5 linked regions of the Nothobranchius furzeri genome follow. The protein of the gene in region 1 interacts with the protein of each later gene in a pairwise test. Links are inferred from orthologs where the notes say so. Each region holds a gene or a part of one and is shown in the gene's direction. Other genes may lie near its edges.

What was found.
Region 2: the proteins of protein max (region 1) and mxd4 interact in a two-hybrid assay, tested with the Homo sapiens proteins (2 studies listed by BioGRID). The link is inferred for Nothobranchius furzeri from reciprocal best matches to the Homo sapiens genes MAX and MXD4.
Region 3: the proteins of protein max (region 1) and mxd3 interact in a two-hybrid assay, tested with the Homo sapiens proteins (4 studies listed by BioGRID). The link is inferred for Nothobranchius furzeri from reciprocal best matches to the Homo sapiens genes MAX and MXD3.
Region 4: the proteins of protein max (region 1) and unc45a interact in binary tests that used the Homo sapiens proteins (3 or more experiments, as listed by UniProt). The two-hybrid records come from large-scale screens. The link is inferred for Nothobranchius furzeri from reciprocal best matches to the Homo sapiens genes MAX and UNC45A.
Region 5: the proteins of protein max (region 1) and plekhf2 interact in binary tests that used the Homo sapiens proteins (3 or more experiments, as listed by UniProt). The two-hybrid records come from large-scale screens. The link is inferred for Nothobranchius furzeri from reciprocal best matches to the Homo sapiens genes MAX and PLEKHF2.

What each region holds. Positions count from the first base shown.
Region 1 is NC_091758.1:33,255,061-33,258,399, reverse strand, and holds the end of protein max, read left to right. Parts: intron 1-1,483; coding exon 1,484-1,607; intron 1,608-1,696; coding exon 1,697-1,881; 3' UTR 1,882-2,837; downstream 2,838-3,339. UniProt on the Homo sapiens protein: Transcription regulator. Forms a sequence-specific DNA-binding protein complex with MYC or MAD which recognizes the core sequence 5'-CAC[GA]TG-3'. The MYC:MAX complex is a transcriptional activator, whereas the MAD:MAX complex is a repressor.
Region 2 is NC_091746.1:81,015,227-81,019,302, reverse strand, and holds the start of mxd4 (max dimerization protein 4), read left to right. Parts: upstream 1-1,276; 5' UTR 1,277-1,481; coding exon 1,482-1,545; intron 1,546-1,976; coding exon 1,977-2,076; intron 2,077-4,076. UniProt on the Homo sapiens protein: Transcriptional repressor. Binds with MAX to form a sequence-specific DNA-binding protein complex which recognizes the core sequence 5'-CAC[GA]TG-3'.
Region 3 is NC_091741.1:102,024,309-102,028,358, reverse strand, and holds mxd3 (max dimerization protein 3), read left to right. Parts: upstream 1-1,241; 5' UTR 1,242-1,373; coding exon 1,374-1,443; intron 1,444-1,821; exon of another isoform or gene 1,822-1,928; coding exon of another isoform or gene 1,929-1,953; intron 1,954-2,033; coding exon 2,034-2,133; intron 2,134-2,268; coding exon 2,269-2,298; intron 2,299-2,381; coding exon 2,382-2,496; intron 2,497-3,238; coding exon 3,239-3,404; intron 3,405-3,475; coding exon 3,476-3,594; 3' UTR 3,595-3,804; downstream 3,805-4,050. Other genes in the region: protein FAM193B, read right to left, coding at 133-294. UniProt on the Homo sapiens protein: Transcriptional repressor. Binds with MAX to form a sequence-specific DNA-binding protein complex which recognizes the core sequence 5'-CAC[GA]TG-3'.
Region 4 is NC_091744.1:74,263,486-74,267,527, reverse strand, and holds the start of unc45a (protein unc-45 homolog A), read left to right. Parts: upstream 1-1,241; 5' UTR 1,242-1,379; coding exon 1,380-1,403; intron 1,404-1,503; coding exon 1,504-1,699; intron 1,700-2,587; coding exon 2,588-2,763; intron 2,764-2,839; coding exon 2,840-2,929; intron 2,930-3,016; coding exon 3,017-3,184; intron 3,185-3,273; coding exon 3,274-3,442; intron 3,443-3,565; coding exon 3,566-3,736; intron 3,737-3,830; coding exon 3,831-4,002; intron 4,003-4,042.
Region 5 is NC_091745.1:67,587,114-67,591,230, reverse strand, and holds the start of plekhf2 (pleckstrin homology domain-containing family F member 2), read left to right. Parts: upstream 1-1,317; 5' UTR 1,318-1,963; exon of another isoform or gene 1,964-1,980; intron 1,981-4,117. UniProt on the Homo sapiens protein: May play a role in early endosome fusion upstream of RAB5, hence regulating receptor trafficking and fluid-phase transport. Enhances cellular sensitivity to TNF-induced apoptosis.

The sequences.
Region 1 (3,339 bases):
GGACACTTACCCCAAAATTCCACTACCTCCGCTCCGGCACGAACTCTGCAGCAAAATCGGTCCCGTTGTAGTCAATCAGAGCTGTTCCACTACTGCGGCTGTGCGGCGCAGTGCGCCGCCCACCGTTCCGCCATCCGGCAAAAATAGGATCAATTCTATTTTTGACGGACGCCGGAGCACCTCCGCAGTCGATGGACAGAAATCACAACCGCCCAACAGGAAAGGGTGCAAGCACAGCTTCCATTATTTCACAATAAATCAATAACAAAAAGCGTTTTTTGTTTCATATGCACAGGTTTAACAACTTTTAACAACTATCAATGGCGGCAGAACTTTAAATGCACAAAAATGAGCCATAAATATAGTTTCCACTATCAAAGTAGTCACACTTAGTTGATCCAAACACTGCTGATCTGTCAACACAAATGATGGGCAGATTAAACAGTTCATTTCGATGCTTCTCCCACACAACGGGTGTTTGGATATAACTTCTGCGTTTATTGCTCGGACTGTATCGCAAGATCTCGAAAATCCCGCGCATGCCTGTTTGCCCACCTCAGGTCTCCGCACCGGAGCGGAGCCGTTGTAGAGCGGGTACCAGTAAAAATTGAGTTCGGAAGCGAGCGGCTGCAGAAGGCGGGGGCGGAGCGGAGGTAGTGGAATTTTGGGGTTAGGTGTTGCGTAACGTCTGCTAAGCATAGCACGCAGCTAATAGTCATTGTTATAGTCGATGGGTGTGTTTCCAGCGGCTGCAAAGTGGTGAATTTTGCACACGTCCCAGAAGCATAGTGTTCCGTTGCTCTTCTACGTTCACACCTCGAGTTTATTTTTATGCGCTGTTCTTCCAGATTGCGTCAAGTTCAGTTGTTCAGATTGAGTCGGACAGGAAATCAAACACAGGAGCCGTGTAAAACATCTGGAAACTTTCAAACTAAAAGCCACATGCAGATTTCCCATTGTTTTTCTAGGTAAGAAAAGTATGCCATTAAGTTTGACGCCTCCATAGCTGAAGTAAACAGAACAGCTACTTTAACTGCCAAGATCTTGCAATTCTCCCGAGGCACCATGACCTCGCGGGACCAGCTGTGTGGTACGCTTTCACTGCTGTTTGGCGTCTGAAGAGCTTCCTGTGGGAAGTGACGCATCGCTGAGCTTGCATTTCGCACCCAAGTTAGAAAAAAATCAGTTTAATACATTTTTCATGAAATGATGTCACTTTTGCATCAGATGCTTATTTATGCTGAAGCCTTGTCTTTTTTAAACACACCGCAGTTCATTCCAGTGCAATACTCAACAGTTTGTTTTAAAGCCTCATGTAATGGTAACAAGGTAGAAAACTACACAACATTCCCTTGAACAGACATCCATCTTCCCTGTGATGTTCTGGATTTGCGTGCGTCTCGATGCATTTGTTATATTTTGCATTAAGCAAAACGACTACAAAGTTGTCGCATGGCTCTAAGACATTGTTCTTCCTCAACAGGCTTCACGAGCACAGATATTAGACAAAGCTACAGAGTACATCCAGTTCATGAGGAGAAAAAATCACACCCACCAGCAGGACATTGATGATTTAAAGAAGCAGAACGCACTGCTGGAGCAACAAGGTAATGGGAGCAATCCCTAATCGAACACATTCACACAGTAACTGTAACGTTTTACTACACTTTCTGTTTTCATTGCTGATCCCTTTAAGTTCGTGCACTGGAGAAGGCCAAAGGGAACACTCAACTCCAGACAAACTACTCTTCTGACAGCAGCTTGTACAAAAACCGCAAAGGAAGCGCAGTGTCCGCATTTGACGGCGGGTCCGACTCCACCTCCGAATCGGAGCCAGAGGAGCCGCCCAGCAGAAAGAAGCTGCGTGTGGAGGCCAGTTAAACTCCGGTGCCCCCCAGACTCTTTGCATCCACCAGCTCCAGCATCTCTGACCTGTCTTCTTATGCTCCTAACTTCTTAAATCAGTCCAAGACACAAGAAGGAGACAGTGTGTTAGGTGCTGTTACTGTTTTATTAAAACGCTTCTACCTTGTTGTTTCCTCCTGTTTTTGTGACCCAGCAATGACTTTTATTATCCCCAAAGTGAGGCAGCTCAGCAGTTTTTGAAGGACTTGATGCTTTTGAAACCTTGTGATAACATGTTCATGAAATGACACGTGAGCCTTTAGTAAAGCTACAAAACAACTTTTGCAGTTTGTTGAATTGTGAGATTTTAACACCTTTTATGGAATGATAATTGAAAGAATTAGTGTTTTTAATATTCATATAAAAATGTGAATTTGTTTTCAGTAAACATGCCTGGAATGCAAGGTGTGCCCTCCTTTTTGATGTAGGTGACTGAAGTTTTTGACTTTGAGAACTTACTTGAATCACATAAAATCCCCCTTTTCTCCCCATTATATAGTCTATCCATATGGCTGATCTCTATACTGATTTACAAGAGGATTTTCACAGCTTTTGAATAGTTATTCAGAGTTTATACATGTGGTTATGTTTAAAAAAATCACTTAATTGATACTGAATGTTACACAATGAAGTTATAGGACAGTGACTTTAATTTTTGTTCATGGAAGTCCATTTCAGTGTGTAGTATATAACACTGTATACTCCCCAGTGGTGTCAGTTCTGCAATGAAAAGCCTTCCCTTGAAATATTTGCCTGCGCTGGGAATGTTGATCTTAAAAGTTTAAAAAAAAATGTGTGTATGTAATAAATATTTGTTCCATTCCATGGAAATTACAGGTATGTTGTACATACTGCCAATGGTTGTCTTGCAAGTTAAGGCATACCTTTATTATGAGATTATAAATAAAACTATTTTATCCTTTTTGGATGTATTCATGGCTCAGTGTGTATTTTATTAGTTATTTTTGTCACTCTGAAAATGTGTCAAAATTACATAAATGTTTCAGGAAAAGTTTATGATTCAGCAAAAATGTGTTTGCATTGTTTTTCGTAGTTTGTGCTGGAAAGTTAATTTTGTTTTAGCCTTTTCCCTCTACTTTGGAGATGCTTGCATATCCCAGAGTTGTCTTTTTTCCTTCAAATTATTGTAAAAAATAGCTGCCTGGAAGAACTATATTTGTATCAGGTCAAGTGAATATCCACTTAACCATTAGAAAAATGAAATTTCAAATATTTACTTTCTTGGACTGGTAAAACTTCATTCTTATACATTTTCACTTTTTTTTTTTTTTACATAAAATGTAATATTTGTAGTTGAAATGTTACCATTTCCCCTAAACTGACAGGAAGCAAGTAATTGGTTAAAAGATGCTGATTTCCGTGCTGCCTTTGTATTTATGTGGATTTTGTAAGTTACATAAAAATAGACCCCTT
Region 2 (4,076 bases), on another chromosome or scaffold:
AAAACCGACAGCCACATTTGAAATAATTCTGTCTGTGGTAAAAGACCCCAAAGTAAGCACAACACAAACATTAATTATGTTACTGGTCTTCGGGGTCCTTTTTCTCATCATTTGCATTGAAAGTCATTTCCTCAATGTGATGCCTTCAGAATGCAGTCCAGCAAACATCTGGCTGCTAGCATTACAAACTGCCTGCCATGCACAACAAACCACATTTGCACGCCCCTGTTGAGCTACTCATAACTCTTCCTATGCTTCAGCAGCTTTGACACTCTGCCCAAGCTCACTTGGCGCTGGACATGATGGGTCATCCCACTTTCAAATGAACCTCAAGTTCTGGATCCACAGCCGCAATTACAGACTCCAGACCAGTCACACGATCTGAACTTCATTTGGATGAGATCAATGAATTTAGATTGAAGGGGGGTGGATTTGCAATAAAATGGATGGCATTCAACAAAATGTTTAGGTCATCCTTCGAGATTCAGCCTTTGCTATTCATGTCATTTCACAATTTCTAATCTAATTAAACATTGAAATTTAGTATAAAAAAATATATATATATAATCTAAAAATAATGGCCATAATTTAGCACATTCTGCCAAACTCTTAGAATCTTCATTTTGTCTCTTTAAATGTAGATATATGGTGTTTATAAAATTGTTTAATTGTGAAAATACATTTAAAAGCCTTTTATTTTGAAGTACACACTTGATTAGCTCTAGTTATTATTACACTTGACAGGTGCTTAAATAAACTACATCATTTTCAACTTTCTTTACTGTGTATTTCTTAATACCAAGCTAACGAGTGTGTTGCCATATTGTATCTTCACATCAGAAATTCTCATCTCAGTTTCTAGCAGGACTTTCATAATGACATGGACAGGAAATGAGCACCAAAACACGAACACCGCATGCTAGCAGGTCTGTTATACCACACGCTCCTATGAGAAATAGGACCAGACGTCTTGTTGACTGAAAGAGTGCAGTTTACTTCACCACTAGAATGAAAAGAAAAAAAAACACCATACTTTGGGAACTTTATCTCATTTGGCAACCAAACCACCCCAAGTTCAAGAAAATGCACGCCCAGAGTCGCTTCCAGCCAATCATATGCGTCCTTCATGTGTAAAACCAATCAGCTTCAAGATAGGTGTGGCGCTGAAGCTGTTGCTAGGGCATGTCCCCAATGACTTCAGACAGTTTAGCCAATCAAATAGCAGCAAAGAGCTTCATTGGTGAGGACACACCTGGGACCGGCGGAGAGCCTTTTCTGATTGGATAAAGTCACGATCACTCAACTTCCTGAGTTCAGGAGCTTTATTGTAGTTTGGAGTCGCTAAGACTCAGAAGTGAACGTAGCAGCGCACATACATCGCTCTGAAACAGTTTATTTTTTACATTTTCATTCCATTATCCTATGAATTGTTTATTTGTGTAAATAGATTTTTCTATTTTTATGACGAGACATCAAAGAAGATGGAACTTAATTCTCTTTTAATTCTGCTGGAGGCTGCAGAGTATTTGGAGAGACGAGACAGAGGTAAAGGTAAAGCTGGGCTGACAGCGTTTATAGATTATTTTCTGTAGCTGTTGGGTTTAGGAGGAAGGGGTTTGAGTTGATGTTTGGGGTTTAACAACATCCACAGTGCAGGTATGATGTCACTTTTCCCTTTCAGTGGGGCACAGACCAGGCGATGGGTACATCCTGGACTCAGCAGCTTTATGCTTCAGAATAATCACAGATTAAATTTTTTATATATATATTCTACGTTTTTCTTTTTTGGGTAGATTTATTTTTTTCTAAACACACGTTTTTTGTGCTTTTAATATGCCTTATAAAATATCTGAAAAATGTGGTTGTTTAGCCTTGATGTATTTCCTATTTATTCACTCACTTTCCCCGCTTTTATGGCTTATTTATTTATCAGTTTATTTCCCCCCTTGTGATTTATTTTTGCTTTGTGTCAACAGAGGCAGAGCACGGCTATGCGTCGGTTTTACCCTACAGCAACGACTATTCCCGAAAGAAAACAAAACCTACGACAATTTCCAGAAAATCTCCGAACAACAGGTAAAATTCACCCCATTCTTTGTGTGTTTACACTCGTGACAGCTCGTGCAAACCCTCCTATATGCAGACACTTACACATATGCAGTAGTACATAAAGTGCTTTGGTGTCTGAGCTGGTCTGGGATCGGTGTTTTGGTCTCTCCAATCAACAGTGCCACGCGTACACTGTCAACTCTGCTGCCTCTGCTCAGTTTCTGTTGCTGTTAGCCTCCCCATGCCAAGAGGAGGGGCACACACACACACACACACACACACACACACACACACACACACACACACACACACACACACACACACACACACACACACACACACACACACACACTTTACCATTCTAAACTAAGCTTACGCCTACTTGAAAGCCCTAAATGTCATTTTTTATTTTATTTCTTCATGTGGTGTTTTGTTTGGTGTCTTGTTGCTAAATGCAAGTCCTGCAGAAGATGAAACAAAGAGAAGGGGTTCGCATTTCAGAAACTGCAATCCCTTTTCCCCACACACCCAGAGAGACCATGAAGGCCTCATTGTTGCTCGATCAAAACAGCAGCTTCTCACCCGTGAGGCTTTCACGGACCTGCTGCTTCTGCCCATTACAGGCGGATATTGAGGAGCCACGTCATTACGTAACATAAAGAGCAGGTTTCAGTTTTGGTTTTCTGATTTCAGACCTGCTGGACCTGTTAAACATCAACAGCTTTTATCTACTCTTTTAAAGAGACAATGTGTAGTTTTTACTGTTTATCTCTAGAAATATCCATCCAAACGTAGTGGAAAAAGAATTCAATGTTGAAAAATATTGGCAGCTTTGTAACATAACCATGACAATCTAGTCTGAAAATACACGGTGGTGGGTCTAAGTTTCTGGGCAACGCCATTTTAGACACCTCTGTCTTTGGGAGCTCGTGAAGACAAAACACATCTACTTATTTGTCACAAACGGTTTTTAAAACTTTCGCCGTTCATAAATGTTGTTTTACACATTTACCTCTTCACTCGTTGCCTGTGATGAAAGGGAGTATGATGTGTTTGTCATTTTGCTGGAGGTTGTGCTCCCAGGGATTTTTGACCCTAATGGCTATCCATTGGTAAGGTCTCACTCGAACACAAAAATATCAGATGCTTGCAACGATTTAGGCAAGTACCGCCCCCTATCGCCAGGGAAACACACGCAGTCACTTGAAACTTTAAAACATTGAACTTGGGATAGACCGATAGATCGAGACGATATTTACCATTTTTGATACGTCACATCTGCCGATAAACCGCTTTAGTAATGCCGATTTAAAGTCGGGCACATTCTTGGGCAGTCTGGTGCTGCCGCAGGGTTTTATTTGAATGTACGTTTACGTTCTTGAAAACATCTGCTTAGTCAATGTTCAACTGACGTTTCTTTATGTTTACCGTATTTTTTGTATTTATTACTTGATCCGTTCGTCGATTTGTTTGATTACCTTTGGGTAAATGTTGGTTCTTATACTGCGCCGTGTACAAAATCAAGATCCAAGAGCTGGTTCGATTCTGACATTCAAGACTGATCACGTTCAGAAATGTTGTGCTTCCACTTTTAATGGTGACATTTTAGCATGCAGACACGGTGGAGAACAACTAGATTTTGGCCACAAAAATCGGCAGCACATATCGGCCATCGGCTCATCTTGATTTCTACATATCGGTATCAGCATTAGAAAAAGCCATCTAGGTTAATCTCTATTTAGAACTGTTACATTTAGGTTTTATATGTTTTTGTAACATTTTCAACCTGATTCATGTTTCTGTTGATTCTTTGAAATCATAACTTGCCAGTGTGAGCTGGCCCCTACTTAATTTATGTTTTATTTAAAAAAACACCTAATCTAGATTTGATAAACTGCACAATTTACTCAAAATAGATGTGGCGCGATATTTTACTCACCTTTTGACTCACTTTTAATTCACTGTAATTGCTAAAAACAGAATTGAGACAATAGGTGGACCGTCCCGTTTCTGTGTCACGAATGGAT
Region 3 (4,050 bases), on another chromosome or scaffold:
AAGTATGGAATAGCTTCCAACTACCGAACATAGTGTCCGTTACATAAAAGCGCAGCGCTTAGACTAGCAGTGGCGCTAAAAATCAAGGCTAACTAGCCTACTTAGATGCGGTGACTGGTTGCTGCTAGCTACCTGGTTCGCCCTGGTGTTGGACAGCCTATCCAGCCCAGCATCTCCGCCGCCACCGCCAGCTGCATCGCCGGGAGAGACAGGGCTCTTCGCTGCGCTCTGCTGCTGTCCAGGCACAAGCTCTTTCTGGGCGACCGTTTGCTGCTTGCTTTTCTTCCTTGCCATTACGTCGGTGTTAACGATGCGCTTTGGACAAGTTTGCACCAGTTTCGGTAATTTAACTAGCACACTTTCGTTTCTTCTCGGACCTGAAAATGTTCTCTATCTCCTCCAGTGAAGACAACAGTGAATATGGCGGAGGACTGGCACACTCGGAGGTTCAGAGGTTAAAGATACTACTGGCAGAGAGGCTTCACTCCGCTACCGAGAGCTCGGTAACAGTGTCCATTCAGGCGGCGAAGCCATGTACCGCCATCTTTAGTAGGGGCAAAGATCCCTTTCTGTTTTGTAGAAGTAGATCATATATAAACATTTTTATGTTTCGACTTGTGTATTTATATATATATACTTTATCAGGATGATGTCCTATTTAAATCGGTGTTAGTGATTTGTCATTATTTCTTCAAAATAAATTAGAACATGTCTTTTGAGGGACCGTGGCAAAATGCAAATAAATAAATAAAAACCCAGGTATTCAGTTGGGTATTTTCGTTCATGTCTTAAGTTTTGGAGCCATTTTATGACTCAAAGATCAGAGTTATATGGCTTAAAATAATAAAGAGAAAGTGGCTAGAAGACTGGAATCTAATAGCCAATTCCAAAGCGTAGAGACGTATTAATCAAGTCCTCGTCTCCCTCATAACAATGTACATAAATGCTGGATGACCCAAGACTTTTGCACAGAAGAACTAGTAGACCTTTGAGAGGGGAGTGGTTGTGTGGATGTATTTTGACCCCTTTAAGTACCTTTGGAAATTTTATGCACTGCAACACAATGGGCCGCTCATTCAAATAAGTAAATTCCTAATCGACCCAATAAAACATTTAAGAATAATAATATTAGGCATATAAACTGTGCGCGCACAATTTTATTTCAAAGCCATTCAGTCACACGAGACTAGAATATAACCTCGGGATTTATCCGAGCCTACGTGCGGTACGTGAACGTAGCGCCATTGTCAGTTCTGTACGCTGAAGACGTAGCATACACACAGCTCTTCATCTGGTTTGGCTGTTATTGCTTGTTCCACTTTAGTTTGTTTACCTGAGTTTTTTTTTTAATTTTCAAAATTGAAAACATAAAAATGGAAGGAAACTTTTGCAACATCCAGGTGCTTCTTCGAGCTGCTGAATTTCTGGAAAGGAGAGAGCGGGGTACGTGTTTTACGTCACCTTTCAGCCTATGGGTAGTTACTGGGTTATCACGAAAACAACAAACACGAACCAGCTGTAAATGTGAACGCGGTTTATTATTCCGGTGATGTGACTGTTTACATGTGACCGGGATTTGAGCTGGAGCTCATGTTTGTTGGTGTTTGCCTTTTGACTCAGTGACCTACATACCGGTGGCATCTTTGTTAGTGGAAGGCGCCAATCTGCGCCAGTTTGAAAATGAATCCGGGCGGCGCTGAGCGGTCTTCGTTAGGCTGAATGAAACTAAGGCTGAAACGGACCTTTAGTACAAGCTGCATCGCTGACAGACCGCGTAGAGTCCATGTTAGCCACTTTTAGTTTATCAGGCTCGAAGTTACAGTTTAAATAAAGCGGGGAGCTGGTAGGTGATGGCGCCAAAACCCAAAAGTAAACGTCCAGCCGGTGACGGATGACCTGTTTCCACCCGTATTACGTCCATTGTATTCATGTGTACTCGACCTCAGATTGTTGGTACGATGCAAAGCTATTTTTAACATCGTGAACCAGCTGCGTCTGACTCAGCTGTGATGGCTGTTTCTCCCCCCGTGCAGAAGCAGAACACGGATATGCTTCGGCCCTGCCTTTCAGTCCAAGCGACTCCGATAAGAGAAGCAAGCAGAAGAGCAGGAGGATATGTGCTGGTGGCAACAGGTGAACACATTATATAACAGATAACTGACAAGAGGGTGTGTCAGCTTTTAGGTCTGAACTCCCCCTTCAGGCACTGTGCCTGAGTTTTTCATTACTGCTGTTGTCTCTGACCAAGGTTCTTATTGTCATCTGCAGGTCGGTTCACAATGAGCTGGAGAAAAACAGGTAATCAGAAAAATGAGATGCCGGCACTTGTTTGTAGAAGATGTTGTTATTGTTCAGTGAGTTTGATGATGTGTTGTTTGCAGGCGAGCTCAGCTGAGGCATTATCTGGAGCAGCTGAAGAAGCAGGTTCCTGTGTCATCAGACTCCTCCAGGAACACCACGCTCAACCTGCTGAGACAAGCTCAGCTTCACATAAAGGTACACGTGAAGCTCAGATCTGGTGGGAATGTTTTGAATGGCGTAGATCTCGGTTTGGAGAAAGAGGGATTCATTCTGGGTCAGGTGGTCAGGTTAGGGCCTGAGGTAGCTAGCGCTGCAAGTAACCACAACAGATAACCACGTAATGTGATGTTTATTGTGGTGTAAAGTTTATAAAATGTCATGTTGGTATTCACTGCTATCAGACCTTTGAGATGAGTTATTTCAAGACTACAGAACCACTTTGTAGCTAGCACCCTTCAGACTAGCTACAGACCCTCCACAAACTAGTCACCTGCAGCTGGTACCAACAGTCACTTTCAACGATCTAATCTCAAGTTTAGCCACTCTTTTAGCGCTGCTAAGTCGCAAGAATAAGAATGATGGGAAACAAATTTTACGAACCAGTGTGTGTGTGTGTGTGTGGCCTCTTACTGAGAAGGTGGATGTGTAGGAACTTAATGCAGATCTGAGGAGTCTGCATCTTTTCCAGAGAGCAGCAGTGAGAACAGATGATGTCAAAGGTCAGTAGAGTCCTTTAGTGTTTGCAGAAATGTAGTCTTGGTTGTGCTTAGCCAGCCTGTCACCTGCTGCAGACCCTTTCTGTCCTCTGAGGTTGACACCACAGCAGAGGCAGATCGGTCAACGTGAACATGAAGGTCTTCGCCCCCTTAACCCGCGTGAAGATGGTTCTGTACACGTTTGCTCATCTGTTTCTGCCTTTCCGTTTGCCTGGTTTCAGAAACTTCAAGAGCAGGACGAGCGCGCAGAGAAGCTGAAAGGTCACCTACGCTGGCAGCAGAGGGAGCTGCGGGTTCGGTTGGAGCAGCTGCAGAGAGGGACAGAGAGGATGAGGAACAACAGCCAGGGGTCCACCATGTCCTCCGAGAGGTCGGACTCCGACAGAGGTGGGTCTCAGCTCAACCTTGCTACTTGGTGGAAGGTCCTTTCTCATGCTATTTACTTATTACTGTAACAGAGGACGTGGAGGTTGATGTGGAGAGCATCGTGTTCGACTGCGTGGATTCTGACGGGCTGAGCTTTGCACACACGGATGTAGACCACTGTTACTCCAGCATGGACAGAGCCTGGCTATGACTCCAGGGAAAAGACGATGTGTTTGTTTAGCCAGGAGGAGGAAACGGGAAGAGGAGAAAAACATTCCAAAAACAGAGGACGAAGGACGAGATGAAGATGTTACTGTACAACTAAACTCTCTAGTTTTTAATGATCTAAATGAGAACAGGTGTATTTGAACTGAACGGGGAAGGATGTTACATTATGAAAATGCTTCCATCAACACGTGATGTCATTTCCTCACAACCATCAGGTGTTTTACCTTCCAGTGATTCATTGTTTAACAGGAACAAAACGAGGGCTTTTATACAAGAATCTGAACTCATCCAGTATGCCTGCTAAACTCTGCCTTAAAGCTATTTAGCTGTTTTAGTCCAGCTTCTCCTTCAGCACCAAATTTACAAATGGTTGCATGCACTTAGACATTAATCTGCGCTACATTGTTTTGTTTCATTCGTGGTTTAAGCTCTTCAGTTG
Region 4 (4,042 bases), on another chromosome or scaffold:
ACTTTACTTTTCTGTTTCTGGTGCTGTGAAGCTTGGAGGATTTTTACTGCTATTTTTTAGCTTTTTTCACTTTTTGAGTATTTGTTATGATGTGTAACCATGGCAACAGTCTGGTTTAAAATCAGGAGCAGCTGATTAACATTGGAAAGGCTGAAATAATACCCAAACTGAAGCCACAAATCCCAAATGAGCTAAAACGCAAGAAGCGTGGGTGCAGAGCGGAAGCAAAACGGAGACAGAGGAAAAGGAAATTCAAACCACCTCTTCCATCGATCATAATGGGCAGTGTGAGATCACTGGCCAACAAGATGGAGGAACTCCAAGCCCTTTCAAGGACTCAGCCAGAGTTTTGGCAGTTTCGGAACCACTGGAGGAGATAATGCAAAGAAGGATTCTCCATAGAATCAAGAAAATTATGGACAACCCTGAGCATTCTCTTCACAAGACTGTCCGACAACGGAAGAGTGTCTTCAGTCAGAGGCTTCTTCAGTTTCGCTGCAACACTGACGGCTACTGGAGATCCTTCCTGCCAACAGCCATTGTACAACTCTTTGACGACTTGATCATTATTATTATTCTGAGCTACTACAGCAATCAGTTTCCCTCTGGGATTATTAAAGTATTTTTAATTGAATTGAATTGAATGCTAAAATAATATTTTGTGTGTCAAACTTTGTTATAATTGGCATTTCTACTGAATCAATTAAAGAAATTTGAATATAGTTGTCGTGCCTACGATTAAACGTTAAAAAGACTCAGAAAAATGTTTATATATGTATGTATATATATATATATATATATATATATATATATATATATATATATATATATATAGATAGATAGATAGATAGATAGATAGATAGATAGATAGATAGATAGATAGATAGATAGATAGATAGAATTTTATTGGACAGAAATGTGTTGCAAACAGTAAAAGTCTGTAAAGAAAATCATAAAGTCTGAAAACAACAAGATTACAAAGTGGCTTTAAGATCACCTGGCTGGGACATTTAAACATTTTCCTACATTTAAATTTGAATTTCTGTTTCTTTTGTTACCTGAGAAGTACAACATGTCCCTGTGCAGACTGGGAAAAGCCCCAGGATGTAAATATAACCACAGACATAGACAATATATATGTCTGTGAATATAACCATATAAAGTAAAAGCAGTCGGTGTTTTCCTTTTTTTTCTTTTGTTCAAGCTGCGACAAATAAGAGGGGAGGGGCTTGTGTGAAACGTCATCAATGTGCTACGAACACCTGGAAGCGCAGCAAGATGTTTTACTGAAGTTCACATTGTTAATCACAATTTAGAGAAATAAAAACAACTGTTCCGTCACATTACGACGCGCCGAATTGTGTTGAACGGATCTGAAGATGAGTGGGAGCGAAAAACAAATGGTAAGGAAGCTGAAACGAGCCGTTCGGTTTGTTTATTTCCGATTTTTCTAGAAGTTTCCCGTCCGGGTAACCGTTACTCACCTTTTTTCCCTGAACTCAGGAGGACCCAGCAGCCCTGAAGGAGGAGGGGAACGCTCTCTTTAAGGCAGGAGACATGCAGGGCGCTGTCTGCTGTTACACCAAGGCGTTAAAGCTGACTGACAGCCGGGCTGACGGTGCTGTCCTCTACCGTAACCGCTCCGCCTGCTACCTGAAGCTGGAGGATTTCAGCAAAGCGGAGGCTGATGCCTCCAAAGGTCGGACACTTCTCTTTAATTTGCATAAATAAGAGCGCACAAGTTTCTATGGGGCCATGAAATCGCAGGGACATTTATGAAAGAGACTGTAGATCACCACACATAATAAATATAAAAAGTTACCACGCTAGGTATGTAAACAGTAGGTTATTTAGCAAAATACTCACAAGATTATATCTACTCAAGTAAAATTACTTATGTAAAAAATAAACAGTATAAGTACTGGCTTATTTTCGGTGTTTTTAGTGTTCTTTTTGTCTCATCTTGTATGCAGATCAGAAGTCTGCAGACTTTTCAGATCATCAAATAAAACACATTAACCAATCAGATTAAATAATGCATCAATACAACAGTTTTACTTGATTTTTAAAATAATTAAATTGACCAGTAAATTAAAGCTGTTTACCATTGCCATGGAAACAAATTAATTACTACATTTCCATTTATTTAGTCACACAGAACTCTGCTTATACAAACTGTCCTTTCGGCCTTTAAATTTGATAGTATTAATTTGCATTTAGCTGTTGCTACATCTTTGTGGGCATCACTATGTAACTGGACATCTCACAGTCTGGAAAGCAGATCATTTTGTGGCATGCCTGCCTTTTTCTGAACATGTAGCAGACTCGGTTTGAATCAAAACAATGTGAGATATATTAAATAAAGCCTTGCAAAATACATAAAAGTGAATTCATGGAGATTCCATTTTTCATATTAACAATACCCGGTACAGAGCCTCTACTACCTTCCCAAAACACTTGACAATTAGGAGATTATTGTTTGCTAAGGCTCATTATTCTGGGTATTGTACAAATCGTTCTTTGGTTGAAGCTTTTATTAGATGCACCACTTTAGTAAATGTTTCCAGGTGTTTTCCTTTGTTTGCAGCACTTGATTCTGACCCAGGCGATGTGAAAGCCAGGTTTCGGAGGGCTCAGGCTTTTCAGAAACTCGGTCGGCTCGACCAGGCTTTCCTGGATGCTCAGACGTGTGCGCAGCTCGAGCCTAAAAACAAAGCTTTTCAAGATCTGCTTAGACAACTGGGAACACAGATGCAGCAAAAGGTGATATGAAACTGATTAGGAGTTTTGTCTTGGAAGAAGCAGATGCTAATTTTAGCCCATGTTTGCAACCCTTTAGTCAGCTCAACTAAACTCCACAGATGCACGCGTGCAGCAGATGTTCTCCCTCCTCTTAGATGCTTCTGCTAAAGATTCAGATCGACAGAAGGTGCTAATTGCTCACTTCTCTGTAACTCTTGGTGTGTGTTTTATTGTCAACACTTACTAAATCAGTACAATACGTGCAACTTTTTAGGCAGCTCAGAATCTGGTGGTGTTGTCTCGGGAGGAAGCGGGAGCTGAGCAGATCTTCCGCAACGACGGGATGAAGCTAACTCAGAATCTTCTTCAGTCGAAGCAGGAGGACATTGTGCTTTCTGCTCTCAGGACATTAGTTGGTTTGTGCACGGGACATCAGTCGAGAGTAAGTGTCACCATCAGTGCGGCGTCTTTAAAGTTGTTTATTTGCAGCAGAGTGTTTGCTGATTTTCTTCTGTTGCCTTTTATTTCCAGACGATGGCGATAGTGAATGAACTGGGAATGGACCAGCTGTGTGCGGTAATGGGGTCAGGAGCTTCCACTGTGTCTTTGGCCGCCTGCCACCTCCTGCAGGTGATGTTTGAGGCTTTGACAGAGGGCATGAAAAGAGAGATCAGGGGAAAGGACGAAGCGATCCTTCCTGGTGAGTTTGACTATTTGCTTTTATAATAGGAGCTGGATCCGCTCAAAGCAGATCTACTGTATCATGTTTATAATCATATATTTGATTGTATCCATGTTTAATCTCCATCTGAATTCTACACAGAACCATCTAAGGAGCTGCGTTCAATGTTGCGCCACCTTCTAGAGATGATGCCTGCGCCCGATGTGTCAGGACCGGGCAGGGACAGTGCCATCAACCTCCTTGTTAAACAAGTTCCCCGCAAGTCTTTGAAGCATCCTGACAACTCTCTTGCCTTATGGGTTATAGACCAAGGTAGGAAACTCACCTGCATGCGGTCGTGTGTTCGTCTCATCCTCGTGCATTTACGGTCACAAAAATGTGGAATGTGGTGCCTAATCTCATGCAGGGCTGAAGAAAATCCTGCAGGTGGCTGGGACTGTTCCTGAGCTCTCAGAGGGACCCCCTCTTACGGACAACACTCACATGAGCTGCTCCGTGCTGCTAAGCAAACTCTACGATGACCTGAAGAGTGACAAAGAGAGGGAGAACTTCAGCAAACTGTGTGAAGAGTATATTCAGTAAGTTATTTACAAAAAATATTTCTAGGAGCCTTAATCC
Region 5 (4,117 bases), on another chromosome or scaffold:
AGGCTCAACCTGTCATTAAGTAAATCTGGAAAAAAATTTAAATAAATTGCTAGAAACCTTTAAAAAAGGTCAGAATGAAAAGTGTACACATCAGCTGAAGCCAACACTAACTAGTTTCTTATTTTAAATAAAAGTTTAATTGCATAGAAATAAGTATTTAAATAAAAATATTGGTATTTTTTATTTGATACCAGCAACATGCAGGTGAATTTACTTAGTTTTTACATAAAGAGGAGATTTGCACTCCTCCATGAGGCATTTTTCAGTTAACCGGAGGTGAACCAAAGGCCACATGTTTAGTCATCAGTAGAGGGTGGTTGTAAATGATGGAAACAGCTTTTTAGCAGAGGGGAAATGGAAAACAGTGCAAGGTGATGTATAAAATGACAAACAGGTTTATAATAAACTTTGGAGCAAATAATCACTTCCAAAAATTGGGATATTCTAATTTTAGCTAATGTTCCACAACAAGTAATCCGTTTGGTGTGTGGTACATTTGGATGAACCCAACATAGAAGAAAAGCAGCGTTAGGTCAAAGAAATAGAATTTTACTTGTGATGAAAGAAATATTAAACAAAGGAGTTGTTGTGGTGTAAAACCAAACCAAAACAGAGCATGTATATTTGGTTTAGAGAGTGAATGACTTCCTTTTTTCTCCTTTGGGTAATTAAATAAATTGTTATCACCCTTCACCAAACTCTCTGACATTCCAGCAGTGTGGAAATATTCTCGGACTCATTCATTTGAAGTGTTGGGATATTTGACCAACCCTGTAAGGTCACAGTGGTTTTCTAATACACGATTAGTGTTGCTCTAAGCATCGTGGCATAATCTAATCTCCTCCGGTGTCTCGGTGCAGATTTAAGAGCTTTGATGATGCAAGTGAATAATCACATTGACTCTCTTTGGGTGTTTGGATGAACTGATAAGAGCACCGTCTTCCAGTTTTAGGAAGCAAACAGACTCAGATCTAGTTTGTGGTGAATGATCCAACTGTAAATGTGCTCTACACGCTTTAAAATAGTTCCCAAAAACTAATGAATCCAGAAGCAGATTTGGCCTGTAAAAGTATAAAATAAATAAAAAATAATAATGCAATGTATGTTCAACTTATGTTGTGTATTGTATTGATGAATTTGATACTTGCAGACCATCTCTGCTGATAAAAACTGAGATTTAAATCCAGGAATTTAAAATGATGGGGTTAAAACAACAGCATGTGTTATGAACTAGAGTTGGGTGCTAAACAACTAATGAGTGCAAATGTTTTCAGTTTTTAAAGGGGAAAGCCAAAATCTAGTAGTGTTTCCCTAAAAGTTTGAATTAAATGAATTTTGAATGTTTGGATGCAGATGAGCAGCGTCCTAGCTTAAGGGTAGAGTTTTTGCTGCCACAGGCATTAAGAGGGGGAAAGTAAATTATGGGGAGTTTATTCCCATTCCTGTTGTTTGTGGACACTATGGAAACCGTTGTGCTTTATTTTCTTCATTTTTTTGTTAAGGTGTCAGTGCATTTTTCCTACAAAGCCACAACATGTACCATCTTGTTTACTATTTTGAACCCCAGGCAGGTCTCCTCCCAAAAACTTGGCTTCTGTTCTTGCTCATGATGCCTTCACTGTCCCTTGGAATAATCAAAAAAACGAACTACTTCACTACACGACTTGGAAGAAGGAAAAGATTATTTTTCTTTCGAAATAGGTCAAAAATATGACTTCCCAAATAAAAGTACAGCAATGATTTGCTTCTCAGAACAGACAGCTTCACTTCGGATTTACCAGCCATTAGATTGCCCTTGAACGCATCTTCTTAACGCTGCCATGTTGTTGTTTTATCCACGGAGTTTCCAGCTGCTGTCGGTGTCTGCGGACACAGTGGTCAGTTCTCGAGGCAGACTTACTACTTTACCGATATCACCTGGAATACAGCAGAACTTTAGATCTATTGCAGAAGCTATTTCACAGTGAGTGCTACCGTCGGGTATGTAGTTCTTTGGGTTTATAAGTTGACTGATGATACTTTAACTCTTTGGCTAAAGCTGGTTCCGTGGGTTTCAGCTACTTTTTCCTCATTCATGTTAATAGCCTGTAAAAGCCCGCGTTGTGTGGGTGCTTTTCTTTTCCTTTCTCCTAAATGTTTATCGATTATCGAAACTGGGAACCGCTTTTTCACTCAAAACCGAACAAAAAAGAGTGAAGATTAGCTTTAAAGTAAAATGTATGAAGTGCTTGGAAGCTAACGTCTGAGCTAGCTAGCTAAGTCTGCCAACGGGCACCACTTTCTTTTGCCAACTTGGACAAAAAGTTGAAAAGTAAATTGAACTTTGAGACGTGAGGCATTGATAATAAGACTTTAACTTGTTTGTGGAATAATTACGTTCAATAATTGGTGGAAGTGCTGGACAGACTGGAAACACTTGAACAGTTTAGGTGGAAATACTTGGGCAGAAACTACTAACTTCAATGTGTCTTGGCTAATGGTAACAAATGGAAACTGAACTATTCGGGCAGTTGGGAGTCCACCTTATCGCAACACAGTTGTGGACGTGTGTACTCGAGTTTTCTACCACAAAAAAGGGAAGTTTGATATGTCTTCATTGTGTCTAAGTGCATAAAATCTCCATTAGCTTCAGATGACTGAGGGCATAATAAAGCAACATTTATTTACACATATTCTGTCCCCGTGGTATTGAGTTTATTATCTGTTTACAGCAACACACATTTTAGGTTAGAGCAATACTATTTAAATCATTAACACTGTCTCAAAGAAGAGTGAAACATTAAACATAAAATGTAAAAAAATAAAATAAAAATAAAACTTATTTGATATCTATTGCACACAACATTGTTTTAGATTGAAATAGTTCATTTGTTTTTGTATTTTCCCCTTAATTTTTCTAAGTTTGCATTTCTTTAAAGTATGTGTCTATTAAAAATTGTAGCATTTTTCTTATTTATATATTTTCTTATAGAATTTTCTACTTCTCTTTCAAATTCAGTTTCTTTTTTAAGTTTCTGTGACTTCACATTATTGCAAAGATTATTATGAAACCAGGTGAGACAAGCTGTCGTTCAGTCATAGATGAAAACACAACATTGCAAAATATTTACACCCGCACCAGTGTCAGAGGGGGACAAGCTTAACTTTCTATTTTTTAAGGATCTAAAGTAGTAAAATTAGAGCCCTATGAAATCCATTTCATTTTCTTCCCTAGTTGAGATTTTCTTTTTTTTTTATTCAACTTTTTTTTTACATGGTAACAAATGATTAGATAATAAAAAAAATTAACAAGATTTTCTGGGGAAAACAAGCTTTTAAAATAGATGACAGTTTTTCTAGTGAGAGTTGCTTTTTGTTTCTAAAAATGGGTTGCAGTGCCTAAATCTGGTGACAGAATGTCATTCTTACTTCATCCTTACATATTGCACCTTTGGTAACAGCAAGCATTAATAACATGCCGCTGTAATTTCTGCTAAATTATATATAAATAGTAAAATGAAATCAGTGATTTTTGTTACCAGTAGTAGTCAAGACCCCCACCACCAAAGAGGAGTTCAAGCAGAAGATGCAAAAAAACAAACAGACAAAAAAAACATCAATAAATGTACTCAAACTTTAAAACTTCAATGCTTGTATTAAAGCCAATTTATTTTCAGGCTGTATTTTTAATGTTTGTTTGCATTCTAGCTTTACAAATGAAGGCAGTGGTCTTTCAGGATGTGGCATGTTACTCTACAGCTAGCATAGCCTCTGTTGCAATGTGTTGCATTTTAAATGACACAGTTTTAAATGTGATCCTCTTCATTTGCGTAATGAGGTAGGAATGCCCACAGTTATGTTTAAAACATTCTCAGGAATCTTAAGCCTGCCGCACACGAGAGCAATCTGCAGAGCAAACGGCCTCGAATGACCGTTGGCTCAGCAGATTGCTCGCCGTGTGCACCTGATTTTCACTGAGTTTTCCACCTCACAAGAAGCTGAGACGAATATCTGACCATTCAGATATTTTCCGCCTCACGGGGGGTAGAAACTCACCGTGTGCGCACTACTGAGCTGCCGGCTGAGCTGAACTATTCTAGTGGCCAATCGAAGCGCCTTCTCTGATCACATGATTCCA